3 linked regions of the Ovis aries genome follow. The protein of the gene in region 2 purifies or fractionates together with the protein of the main gene of each other region. This does not show direct contact. Links are inferred from orthologs where the notes say so. Each region holds a gene or a part of one and is shown on either strand. Other genes may lie near its edges.

Region 1 (4,335 bases), on a different chromosome or scaffold from region 2:
GAAAAAAAAATATGACCTGCAAATTAATAATTTAATGTAAATCTCTACATGTAATAAAAGCACACATTTCGTGTACAGTTAGAAAAGGTGCAGAAAAAGGCTTTCTCATTCTAAAACTCAGGATTATAAGCAATGGAGCAAAGCCTTCAAAAGAGGTAAACATTTACTCAATGGCATAATTAACTTCTAAAACTGCACTTCTAATTTTGTTATATCATTCAGGTTCCATATTTGGACCTACACTCAGGACCTGTACTTCTATAATCATGTGGCTATTTTAAGTCTGTAGACCAAGACAACATTCATGTTCGTCCAATTCATAAGACACCACCAGTGAACACAGCATGTGTTCACGAAACTCAGTGAAAGTAGAATAATGACAGCTTGGGGTTTTTTTTTTTTTCCACCAAGAAAAAGAAACCTGTCCTAGGGTGATAATTATCATTTCTAAACTGTGATTTCTACTTAAGTGAAAAAAAAGCTTATCTTATTGAAGATAGAGAGAAGAAAAAGGGACAGACAAAAAAAGGTGATGATATTAACAAACTTCTACTGATGACCTTTTAATGGCCAGCATGGAAAGGGAGAGAATGACTTCTTTGTAGCACGATATGACTCCAGGGGACCCCTCCATCCCTCAGTTCCTTTCTCTACCTATCACTTGAGTCTCTACCTATCACTTGAGCCATGGGCGGTGGAGTCAAGGGGACCTGGGTTTGAATCCTGGCTTTAATACACACTAGCCAGGAAATCCTGGGCAGGTCACTTGCTATCTCCCAAACTCATTTTTCTTCATCTGTGAAATGGACATAGAACTGACATCGCAAGGCCAGTGGTGGGAGGATTAAATGAGAAAGCACATGAACACATGTGGTTCAAAGCCTACCCCCAAAGAGATACTCAATAAATGAGTTCCCTTTCTCCCTCTGACCCAGCCCCAGAAATACACTCCAGGGAGTACCCTCTGAATTGGGAACACCTTCCTGGCCCTGGAGCTTTAAAGTAATTGTACAGTAGGGATGTCAGTTCCCTACTTAAGGTCAGTGCTCTAGACTGTGATTCATCCAGTTTTTAATTGCTCTCATCACCCAACCCAGCACTACCAGGTACTCTGACAAGGTCACCACACCCTCTACAGTGTTCAGGGACAGGTTCCAATTCCAGCCTCAACCAGCAGACTAAACCTCATTAGGCAGAACCTGTTTCGGCATAGGATTAGTTAACTAGATGGAATTACTGATCCTCTCCCTCCTAGCAGGAGATTTATTTTTCCAAGATGATCCCCTCCTTTAACTGTGATAAGCAGATGAATTAACCTTGGAAGGTCTCCAAATACTTTGAGGTAGAAGCAGCCACTTACACCTACTCCCTCACGTGGCAAAAATATCCTCCTGAATGATACTCTCTCCTTTTTTTTTTTTAATAGATACTTGAAACACCCAGGGTCTATTGGATACTAAAAGGCTAGATTTAGAAACTGATTAAAGAAAGAGGGCAGAACTAGGATAATTTAGGTAATTTCGGCAAGGAGTTGAATTAGATAAAAGTAGGTTAGCACTGCCTTCTGGTTCCAAAGCCCCAGTATGAGAACAGATGGCTTTATAATAAAAGATTCTAAACTACAATGTATTAAAGAAAGTGAAGTTGCTTAGTCGTGTCCAGCTCTTTGCGACCCCATGGACTATAATCTATCAGGCTCCTCTAACCACGGGATTTTCCAGGCAAGAATACTGGAGTGGGTTGTCATTTCCTTCTCCAGGGGATCTTCCCAACCCAGGGATCGAACTCAGGTCTCCTGCATTGCAGGGAGGAGATAAATATGCTTTACCATCTGAGCTACCAGGGAAGCCCACAGTGTATTAAAGGGCCTACCATATTCCCAGCAGTGGAGCAATACCAGGTTGGGACCAGAAACATAAATAAATCTGACACTTCTCTGGTCCACAAATCTGGGGGGAGAAGGGTAGAAGAGGAAGGGAAGACACACAGACAATATAAGAAGCACGAATAAAACTTAATTGAGCACATACTAAGGGACAGGGGCTATCCTAAGCAATGTATGCAAATAAGCTCACTGGAGCCTCAGAAACCCCTTAAGGATCTTATAAATGTAGATGAGAAAACGGGGATTCAGACCAGCAATCTTCCCAGGGTCATCCAAGCAGTCGTGGTGCCGGGATGGGAGGGAGGCTGGGCAGTCCGACTCGAGGATTAGAAATGAGAAAAGGTGCTAAAGGTTGCACGGAGGACTAGGAGCGCCGGGGGTCGACCGCGACTTAGGGGAAAGAGGCACTCAAGCGGGGAGATTCTTAAAGAACTCGGGGGAGGCTTCTTCGCCGGTTCGGAAAGGTTCCCCCTATAGCTGAAGGATGCAGGGCTGCCCTAGACAGGAACAGACACTCCAGGGGCGCTTACTGCGCTCAGGGACCCTATTCTAGACGCTGAAGCTAAAGGAATGAACCGTGCCTCGCGACGCGCGATAGGGTGGGGGTGGTGATCCCATTCACTACAATTTTAGCGCCTGTGATAAACGCCCACAATGGAAGCGCAGGAGAAGCGATCTTTCATTCTGGCATTGGAGGAGCATCGGAACTTGGAAATCGCTGAGAGATGGATCTGGGCGTGCGGGGACCCCAGGGCTCGGCAGGCCCCTCAGAGAACACCGCCTCCCCGCCCCCTCCCCCGGCCCGCCCCTCCCCTCCGCCTCCGGGCCCCGCGGCCTAAGCCCCCGCCTTGCTGCCCCCGCAGGTACAGATCGGGAGCGAGGCCCGGGCCAGGGGAGGCCAGCAGGGCCCGAACCTCGCCCCCGCTGCCCCTTACCTGGGATCGGGGCCGTCCGGACGGGCTCGGAGCGTTGAATTCGCGGACTCTGGTCAGTCGACGCGAACAGGCTCCGGCGGGCGCGGGCGGAGGACCGAGGCCCAGAGGGAGCGGCTGACAGTTCCCGGAAGTGGCCACGGCGCCTGCGCGGCGCGGCGGCGCGGGCTGTCGGCGCACGCGCGCCCCGGGGCGCGCGCGCTGCGGGGAAGGGTCGGGCGGCTTCTAAGGAGTTTGCGTCCAGAGACCGCTGGGAGCTGGTGGCGGGGCAGCGTAGACCTCTTGGTGCTTTCCTCGCAAAATGTCCTGAGACTCGAGGACCGAAGCGCGGAGCCTTGGCGCTTTCTCAAGTGCTTTGGTCACGGAATGAATTCCTGAGAATTGGGACCTTTTGAGCCAAACGAACGGACAAATCCCTACTTTTTTTTCCTCCCTCTGTGAGGAGGCCTCTTCAGAGCCCGCCCTCCCTCTGTGGAGGTCTCTCCAAGGAACGTTCTCTACCCTTCTTGGGTCAGAATCGTTCCCTGCTCCCGAGCTGGCGCCACAGGACCCAGGAGTTGGGGGAGTTCAGCCGTCCCCCAAACTCAGGAAGACAGTGACCTGAACCCCTCTTTCCACCAGACTGGCTGCCCTTGAAGTCAGAAATTATGGACCAGCTCTCCTGTCCCTGGGGTGATTGACCCGGAAACTTGTCAGGTGATGTTCACCACAGTGAACTTGTCAGATTCCCGACTTAACAGCCACACGTACTGTCTTCTCTGGGGCTGTTTATTCAGCGCTAATGCCCTGGAATAAATAGTTATCTTTGGTCCTAGGGCGTTCTAGGGCACATTGAGAGTGGAAAGATCATTTTCAGTTAATTATTCTCTCCTGGAGACAGCATCCTGGCAGGGGAAGGACCGCACGTGGAAGCGAGGATTCCTCTTATGTCTCCAAGTCAGATGAACGAATCCGGATGTAGAGTTGTTACCCAGGGTCAAAATGCCATCAGTGTTTTAGTTAGATCCCACCTCTTTACAAAGGACAGTTCCTTCTTTGAAGGGGTTTATAGGCTGGGTAAATGAGAGGGATACATACAAATCAGTAATACCAGACTCTTTATGATAAATGACAAGGTAAGAAATAATTTAGCCCCAGAAGAGTAACAATGAGACATTTTAATGTTAATCACTGATTCTATCTTTTGAGTTAATATTTTGCATTTCAGCCTAAACAAAGCTTACCATTTGATGCATTTTCTTTCATATTTTATGAGCCATTCTGGATGGTAGACTCTTAGTTCTTCAGGGGCTCTTAAGTGAAACCATCATGTTCTATAACTGAGGAAACAGGGCCAGAGGTTTTTGAGACTCCGGGAAGATTTTGATGGAAATCAGTGGCAATGCTGACATAATTCCTAGTCCAGAACATCGCCCCCTAATCGCATCATGGTCTGGTGTAAGAACCTTGGAATGGCTCAGATGGTAAAGTGTCTGTCTACAATGCAGGAGACAAGGGTTCAATTCCTGGGTTGGGAAG
Region 2 (3,646 bases):
CTCCATAGCCTTTTTTTTGGGAGAGGAGGGGCTGGGGGGATGGATAGTGTACCAGCATCTGCTAATACTGCAAAGCAAAATGCATGAAAACAGAAAAAAGAAATTAAGAATTCTTGATCCTACTCCTGATTTCATTTTTTAGAACTGTGATAAAATATGTAACATAAAATTTGCCACATTAGCCATCTTTAAATATAAAATTCAGTGGCATTAATTACGTTCAAATATTGTATAGCCATCACCACTATCTATTTACAATACTTTCCCATCTCTCCAAACAGAAACTCTGTACCCATTAAGCAATAACTCTCCAGTCTCCCTTCTCCACAGGCACTGGTAATTTCTAATCCATTTTCTGTCTCTATGAACCTGCCTATTCTAGATATTTCATGCAAGCGGAAGTGAAGTGAAGTGAAGTCGCTCAGTCATGTCCGACTCTTTGCGACCCCATGGACTGTAGCCTACCAGGCTCCTCTGTCCATGGAATTTTCCAGGCAAGAATACTGGAGTGGGTTGCCATTTCCTTCTCCAAGGGATCTTCCCAACCCAGGGATCGAACCCAGGCTTCCTGCATTGTAGGCAGACGCTTTTACCATCTGAGCCATCACAGTATTTTGTGGAATACAGTATTTTGTGTCTTTTTGTATCTGGTTTATTTCACTTTGCATAATGTTTTCAAGGTTCATTCATGCTGTACCATGTAGATAAACATTTTCTGGTCAAGTAATATTCCCTTGTATGTCTGTGTCAGATTCTGTTCATCTGTTTGGGCATCCCTGATGGCTCAATGGTAAAGAATCCACTTGCAATGCAGGAGATGTGGGCTAATACCCTGGAGGAGAAAATGGCAACCCACTCCAGTATTCTTGCCTGAAAGATCTGATGGAGACGAGCCTGGTGGGCTATGGTTCATGGGGCTGCGCAGTTGGACATGAATGAGCAGAGCGACTGCACACGCATGCATGCACGTTCATCTGTTCATGGATGCGTGGGTTTTCCAGCTTTTGGCAATTGTTAAAGAATTCAAATCAGCATCTCAAGACCAAGGCTAGCAAGCATAAATCTAAACTTTCATTTTCATGCATTTATTTGTAGTAACCACCAATGTATAACCAAAGAGTCAAAACAGGTATTTAGGCTAGAGGTTGTCAATGTTTTTTCCATTACAAAGGAACCAGTCATACAGATTGTATAATTCATGACTTACCTTTTCATGCCACTGCAATAACACAGCACTGCTATTGTCAGAGGGGCTCTCAAAGCCTTTATAAATATACTTCATTAGGAGATCCACACCATTCTTGTCCAGGGATTGAACTGCTTTTTCAATATCGTTAGCTTTAAAAGAGATGAGCACCTTCAAGACAATGCTGCCTGCGCGATCCTGAAGGTAAATAAACAACAGATCGTTCAGTCTCATTTTTGTGTTGGGTAGTTCCAGTTTTTAGAAAGGCTGCACTGCGAGTGTGACATTCGGGTAGAGACCTGAAGAAAGGAAGAGGACACCTTGGGTGTATCTGAGGCAAACATTTCAGAGAGAGAAGAGTAACTGCTGCTAGCGTGTGTTCAGTGTGCTCAAGGGACAGCAAGAAGATGAAGGGGGCTGGAGTGGAGTGCAGGGCAGGAAGTCAGAGAGGCAGTAGGAAGACAGAACGCGTAAACCCTGCAGGCCCTTATGAGAACTCTGGCCTCCAGTCACAGAAATGAGAAGCTGTTGGACTTCCCTGGTGGCTCAGAGGTTAAAGTGTCTTCCTGGAATGCGGGAGACCTGGGTTCGATCCCTGGGTCAGGAAGATCCCCTGGAGAAGGAAATGGCAACCCACTCCAGTACTCTTGCCTGGAGAATCCCATGGAGGGAGGAGCCTGGTAGGCTATGGTACTGAGCGACTTCACTTTTGCTTTCTTTCTTTCTAAAAAGAGTGATGTCATCTGACTTACATATCCCATGGAGGGAGGAGCCTGGTAGGCTATGGTACTGAGCGACTTCACTTTCGCTTTCTTTCTTTCTAAAAAGAGTGATGTCATCTGACTTACATTTTAACAGGACCAGCTGGCTGTCATATTGAAAATAAGCCCGGGGCAGCAGGAGGGTCGGGGGAGCAGGAGACAGAAGCCTGGAAGCCAGCTTGGAAGTTCCTGCACCAAGACAGGCTGGCTTTGGCTGGCATGGCAGCAGCAGAGGCAGCCAGAAGCAGACAGAGTCTCGACATATTTGAAGGTAGAGCTGAAAGGGTTTACTTACAGATAGATGTAACAAATTATCAATGTATTAAATCAATACATTTCACTTCTTGATTTAAAAAAAATAGACCAAAAGAAGGAAACTGAATTATAGTTCTACCCTGATGCATCCTTCAGAAATGTTATTAATAAATAAAAATTTAAGTTTCTAAAACTTATTTTTCATTTCACATCTATAGTCAAGTGACTATAGGTATTAGAGTGGTCTTCATTTATAATGATCTTTTTCTTTGATGAATGACTGCTCCAACAGCAGTTGCTTTTCACCTAGCAAGCCAAGTACACAGAACACTTAATTTCCCCTTTCAACAATGTTTCTCTTTCTATTCAACACAAAGTGATACCTTCTGCATTCCTGCCGGTCATGATCTTACAGTATGCTTCTACCACCTTTTGCTGTCTTCAGTTTAAAGACTATGCAATTATCCGTTTAGAAAAATATCCTTGTATGGAGAGCTATAACCTCCCACCCACACGCTCTGATTAAAAAAAAACACCCACAAAAAAGCAGAAGGTGGTAAAACGAAATTTCAATGACGTTACTCACTTTTAAAAACCAAAGAAGCATTTCCTCTTATAAAAGATTATGTTGCCTAGATAATAATGCATTTACCTAAGTTATTATTTACTAGTATTTAACTAAGGAGATACTTGGGGCTCCTAGGATGTGTGAATGGCTATGGACAGTGGGGGGATCAATGCTCTGGGTGTGGGATTATGGACGATTACATTTTTATTCCCCCATATTGCTGAGTTTTCTACAATACTTAACAGAACTAAACATTAAAATTTAATCTGAAAAAAAAAAGAAAAAAAATTTAATCTGGGCTTTAAACAATTAAGTAAATAGGTTCTTAAGAATTACTGAAAGATGGTTAAGAGGCAATGTAATTTTACAACTTTTCTGAAGGGTAGTATGGCAATACCATATGTAGCCTTAAAAAAATGTGCAGTCTAAAATCCAGCCATTCACTTCCAGAAATTTATTCAAAGGAAACAATTCAGACTTTACCAAGAATTGTTCATTTCAATACTATTTATGACAGGAAAAAAGTCAATAAATATATGATGAAAGTTTATATATAACTAAACTGCAGGATTATCAAAATACAGATGTTAAAAAAGATATTATAGAAATAAACTTATTACCAAGTAAAGCTGTTCATGTATGCTGCTATACAGATGAAAAGCAGTTTATCTATTTTAATGAAAAGAAAAACTCATAGAAAAACTCTATAAGCATACAGCAACAACAAAAAGTAATGATTATCTACAGGTATGGAATTATAATTATTTTCATTCCCCCACATTTCTGAGTTTTCAATAATATTTAACAGAATTAAATATTAGAATTTAATTCTATGAGAATGGTAGAATTTTAAAAAATCTTTCAAAAGCAAGTAGC
Region 3 (4,186 bases), on a different chromosome or scaffold from region 2:
CTGAGCGTCCAGAGACACAGAGAGACCATTCACGGCATCCAGACTGCAGAGCAGGTAACACAGAGCAGCATAAACGTTAGTTTCTGGTTCTGATCACTGGTCTGTGAACGCATGTTCTCATAAAGGATATACTGAAGTACCCTGGTGTAAACAGCAGGATGGCTGCAACTCACAAACAGTTCAGAAAGATAATAACGCATAAAGTATACAGAGAACAATAAAGCAAATGTTAGTAGTTAGAATGCTGGATGGAGACTATATAGCATTTTCTTGGTACTCTTCTTGCAGCTTTTCAGTAGATTTGAACTTTCTCAAAATAAGTTTAAAGAATACAAAAATCTTCAGAACTACAAGTTCAGTTAAGAAAAGTGAGGCTATTCTCTGAACACTCTGGAGCCCAGTAACTCACTTAAGTGGACGAAGCTTCATCTGTGGAGCAGGCAGAGCTGTGGTCCATGTCATCCCACCCCCAAGAACACGTGTGCTCACCAAGCTGGTCTCAGGGTTTACTAGATGAGGCCAGGCTCCCAGGATGAAATTTATTTGCTATTTTTAAAAAGCACCATTGAGTATACTGTCTACTCAATCATAAATGTCCACTATCAGTGTGAATCTTTCTTTTAGAATTTAGTACTAGAGAAAGCTCTTTCGCCTGAGAAACAGGTATTTCTCTTCTTCCCTGATGACAGGAATTACATAACTGACGATGACTCTCTCATAATCTTGTCATACAGGAAGGCCAAGCTTGAGACCAACCAGCTGCACTGTGGGCCTACAGTTTAAGGTGATTTTCCAGGCCTGTTCCTTTCTTCGGTCCTAGTTATATTTATCTGCATTTTATCCCTTTTTATCCCATTTTGAGTTAAAGGTCAATCCAAAGTCACTTGGCTCTGCAGGACATATAAGAAGCAGTAATATGCTTAAATAAACTTGGGCTCTTCCAGGCTCCTCCTCCTGGCCACACACTGGACACTGGAAATTCCTGACTGACCATCACCGTTCCCACAAAAGACTATGTCCATGTGAAACCCACTGGCAGGATCCCTGGCCACTATTTCTAGTCCTGACACAACGCCTACAACAGCCTGAAGACGATACATAACTTGGGGCCAGAAGACAAAGATATCCTGAAGTTATACCGCCACGTGAGATACCACCTACCTCAGACGGTCATAACTGAGCACCACACTTTGGTATTTATAGCAAGAATGATGAGTAAGGCTCCCAGCTTACTAATATTAAAGGTATGACAAACCCTGTGGGCACATTTTGTTGCTTCTACCAAGAAATACTTTGTATTTCAACAGTTTTATAAGACCAAAACCACAAAAACCTCACGTGCAAATGTGGGGATGAAAGATTCTTTGACCAGCTGCCTTCTCTCCTGACACAACCAGACCTCAGGTGGGTGTGGGGTGAATACCAGATGGTGGGAGGAGATGCATAAGGAAGCCAGTATTTGGGGGTGGGGGTGTTCCTATCAACACTGCTTTTGGCTCAGGTTCTGGGTAGCAAAACAACTACTGAAATAAAGAGCCCCAAAACTTCTGGTACAACGTGTATCTCTGAAAGGAAAATTAATATATGCAAAGAAGCAGTTTTTTCCAGATTGTAACCACTCCTTTTTCTGCAGCAAAAGGAAAGAACAATCCGTAGGAGATGGACTGTAGCAAATTAAGGAAGACACCCCCACAAGGTTGTCAAGGAAACTGAACCAAGTGCGTTTCTCTACAGAGAAGAATCAAGGCTACCGTGAACGTGCCATGGAATATTCTGTGGCAAAAAATGACTAAAATCCCCTCTTGAAAAATCTTTCTAAGAGGCTAAACTTACTTCTGGGCTATTTTATTAAGCACTTCACCTACAGTGCAAGCAGGCAAGCTTGACTTTCTAAACCAAAACCTAAATGGATTCAGCGAGCACCTTCCTAAAAATGATCGGAGCCTGGGCCACTGGAAAGGACCGGGAGATTTCCGAAGGGTCTCTTTGGCATATCCCAACATCAAAAGAAGCAATCACGGCCCACAAGTAACGGGCTGGGGGCGGGGGGCAGACATAGAAACTATACTACCACCAACAGCCTTTCCCACATTTTGGTTTTTCTGTTTTTCAAAATGGAGCCTTTTTTAACATTTTTAAGTGCAAAGGCAACTCTAGGCAAACTAAAGCAAGACCTTAGCCTGACTGAACCATTCAATACTGGAAGAGGACAGAGTAGGCTGCAAACACACACACGCACGCACACACACACACACACACACACACACACTTTTTTTTAAAGATGTCAACTTGGGAGACGGTTGTAAAAACCTCCCACAAGTAAGTGATAAAGAAGCCCTATCAGGGAGGAGAAATGGCATGCGCTTAGGGACCCAGGACGAGGGCCACTTTTGAAGAGAAGGCAGGGGCGCCGTGAGGCAGGCGGAAGGCGAGGGAACGGCAGCGGGGTGCGCAGCCCGCACCCCCGGGAGGCGTACGGGTCCCGGGGAGCCCCGGCCGAGCGCAAGGAGGAGGCGGGGAGGCCACGTCTCCCCTCGGCTCCCTCCCCAGCAAGGTGAGTGAGTCAGGGGGCCCCTGGACAGGTGAGGGCCGCGACCCGGGCCCGGGGCACCCCAGGTGAGACCAGGGGGCCGGGCCGCGGGGCAGGCAGGGGCAGGCGCGCCGGGGCCGGAGCGGGCGCCCGCGGCTCTTACCCGGTGCCGCAGTCCACCACGCAGGGAGGCAGGGAGCCCGCCATGCTCGGCCCACGCGGCCGGCTCCGGAGGCTCCCCGGATCGCCGGCCCGCTCGCCGCCCCGCGCCACCGCCGGGCTCCCGGGAGCCTCCGCAGCGCCGCCGCCGGGAGCCCGGATGCTCGCCGCCGGCACACGTGACGCCCCGCCCACCCCCGCCTGGCCAATCACTACGATGACACGCCCTGTCCCCGCCCCCGGCCGCCCGCCATCTTTAGTGCTGGCAGCGGGGCCTCGTTCCCTGTACGTCCCACCTCGCTGCGGGAGAGGCTTTGAGCTCTTCTGACTTACCGTGGACTTGACCCCGAAGCCTGACTCCTCATCCTTTTAAGTCTCCTCTCAGATGTCACCTTCTCAAGGAAGCTGTCCCTGCTCATCTGCTAGGTGCCCCCTCACCCCCCTGCACCTTACTCACTATCTCAACAATCTATTGCTTTGCTTCACAACATTTGGAGCAAATTTATACCGTGTGTATATATTTATTTGTACTCCTATAGCAGGCTATAGGCTCCGCTAGATACGGCTCCTGAATGTCTTCCCACTGATGACAAGGATGCGCAGCAGAGTACTTGGTGCATTCATGCTGCTGCTGCTGCTAAGTCGCGTCAGTCGTGTCCGACTCTGTGCGACCCCATAGACGGCAGCTCACCAGGCTCCCCCGTCCCTGGGATTCTCCAGGCAAGAACACTGGAGTGGGTTGCCATTTCCTTCTCCAATGCATGAAAGTGAAAAGTGAAAGTGAAGTCGCTCAGTCGTGTCCGACTCTTAGCGACCCCATGGCTCCTCCGTCCATGGGATTTTCCAGGCAAGAGTACTGGAGTGGGGTGCCATCGCCTTCTCCGGGAAACACCCAAATGTTTTCTGAATAAAGAAAAAAAAACCTTGACGTTAGAATTCTTACACCTGTCAGAACACTGCATGCTTTCCTCTATAGAAGAAAAACCTGTGCAACAAATGCACGGACAGCTTTAAGGGGTGATTGACCTTCGATCAGGTTAACACTACACCAGGATCATTATGGAACATATTCTCAAGTATCAAAGGTGAAGTGATGTCCAAAAGATCTTCCTGGAACCCGGACCAAAGTTCACACCACTTACCAACTATGTTATGAAGGTCGAGAAGATTCCACTTGCTTCCTCCTCCCTCCCTATCATATATTCCTGACCTTACTTTTTAGGACTCTTCTGGAGATGTAGTTCCAGGCAGTTTAACTGGTATTAAAAGCATTTTTAAACTGCTTTTCCGTATGAGAAGTAGTGGTAGATTACTTGATCATGTTAGACAACCCATGATGATTCCTTTTTTGTTTGAGGGTGTTTTGTTTTTTTTTTTTTTTTCCTATACTGGAGAAGGAAATGGCAACCCACTCCAGTATTCTTGCCTGGAGGATCCCATGGGCGGAGGAGCCTGGTGGGCTACAGTTGATGGTGTCGCAAAGAGTCGGACACGACT

What was found.
Region 1: the proteins of ARPC5 (region 2) and ARPC1A fractionate together in Homo sapiens (co-fractionation; 8 studies listed by BioGRID and IntAct, counting the BioPlex papers as one, with this or other methods). This does not show direct contact. The link is inferred for Ovis aries from reciprocal best matches to the Homo sapiens genes ARPC5 and ARPC1A.
Region 3: the proteins of ARPC5 (region 2) and ACTR3B purify together in Homo sapiens (affinity purification with mass spectrometry; 5 studies listed by BioGRID and IntAct, counting the BioPlex papers as one, with this or other methods). This does not show direct contact. The link is inferred for Ovis aries from reciprocal best matches to the Homo sapiens genes ARPC5 and ACTR3B.

The regions. Positions count from the first base shown.
Region 1 is NC_056077.1:37,483,451-37,487,785, forward strand, and holds the start of ARPC1A (actin-related protein 2/3 complex subunit 1A), read right to left. Parts: upstream 2,947-4,335; 5' UTR 2,821-2,946; intron 1-2,820. UniProt on the Homo sapiens protein: Probably functions as a component of the Arp2/3 complex which is involved in regulation of actin polymerization and together with an activating nucleation-promoting factor (NPF) mediates the formation of branched actin networks.
Region 2 is NC_056065.1:64,118,489-64,122,134, forward strand, and holds part of ARPC5 (actin-related protein 2/3 complex subunit 5), read right to left. Parts: intron 1,385-3,646; coding exon 1,208-1,384; intron 1-1,207. UniProt on the Homo sapiens protein: Component of the Arp2/3 complex, a multiprotein complex that mediates actin polymerization upon stimulation by nucleation-promoting factor (NPF).
Region 3 is NC_056057.1:116,721,498-116,725,683, reverse strand, and holds the start of ACTR3B (actin-related protein 3B), read right to left. Parts: upstream 2,826-4,186; 5' UTR 2,738-2,825; coding exon 2,694-2,737; intron 1-2,693. UniProt on the Homo sapiens protein: Plays a role in the organization of the actin cytoskeleton.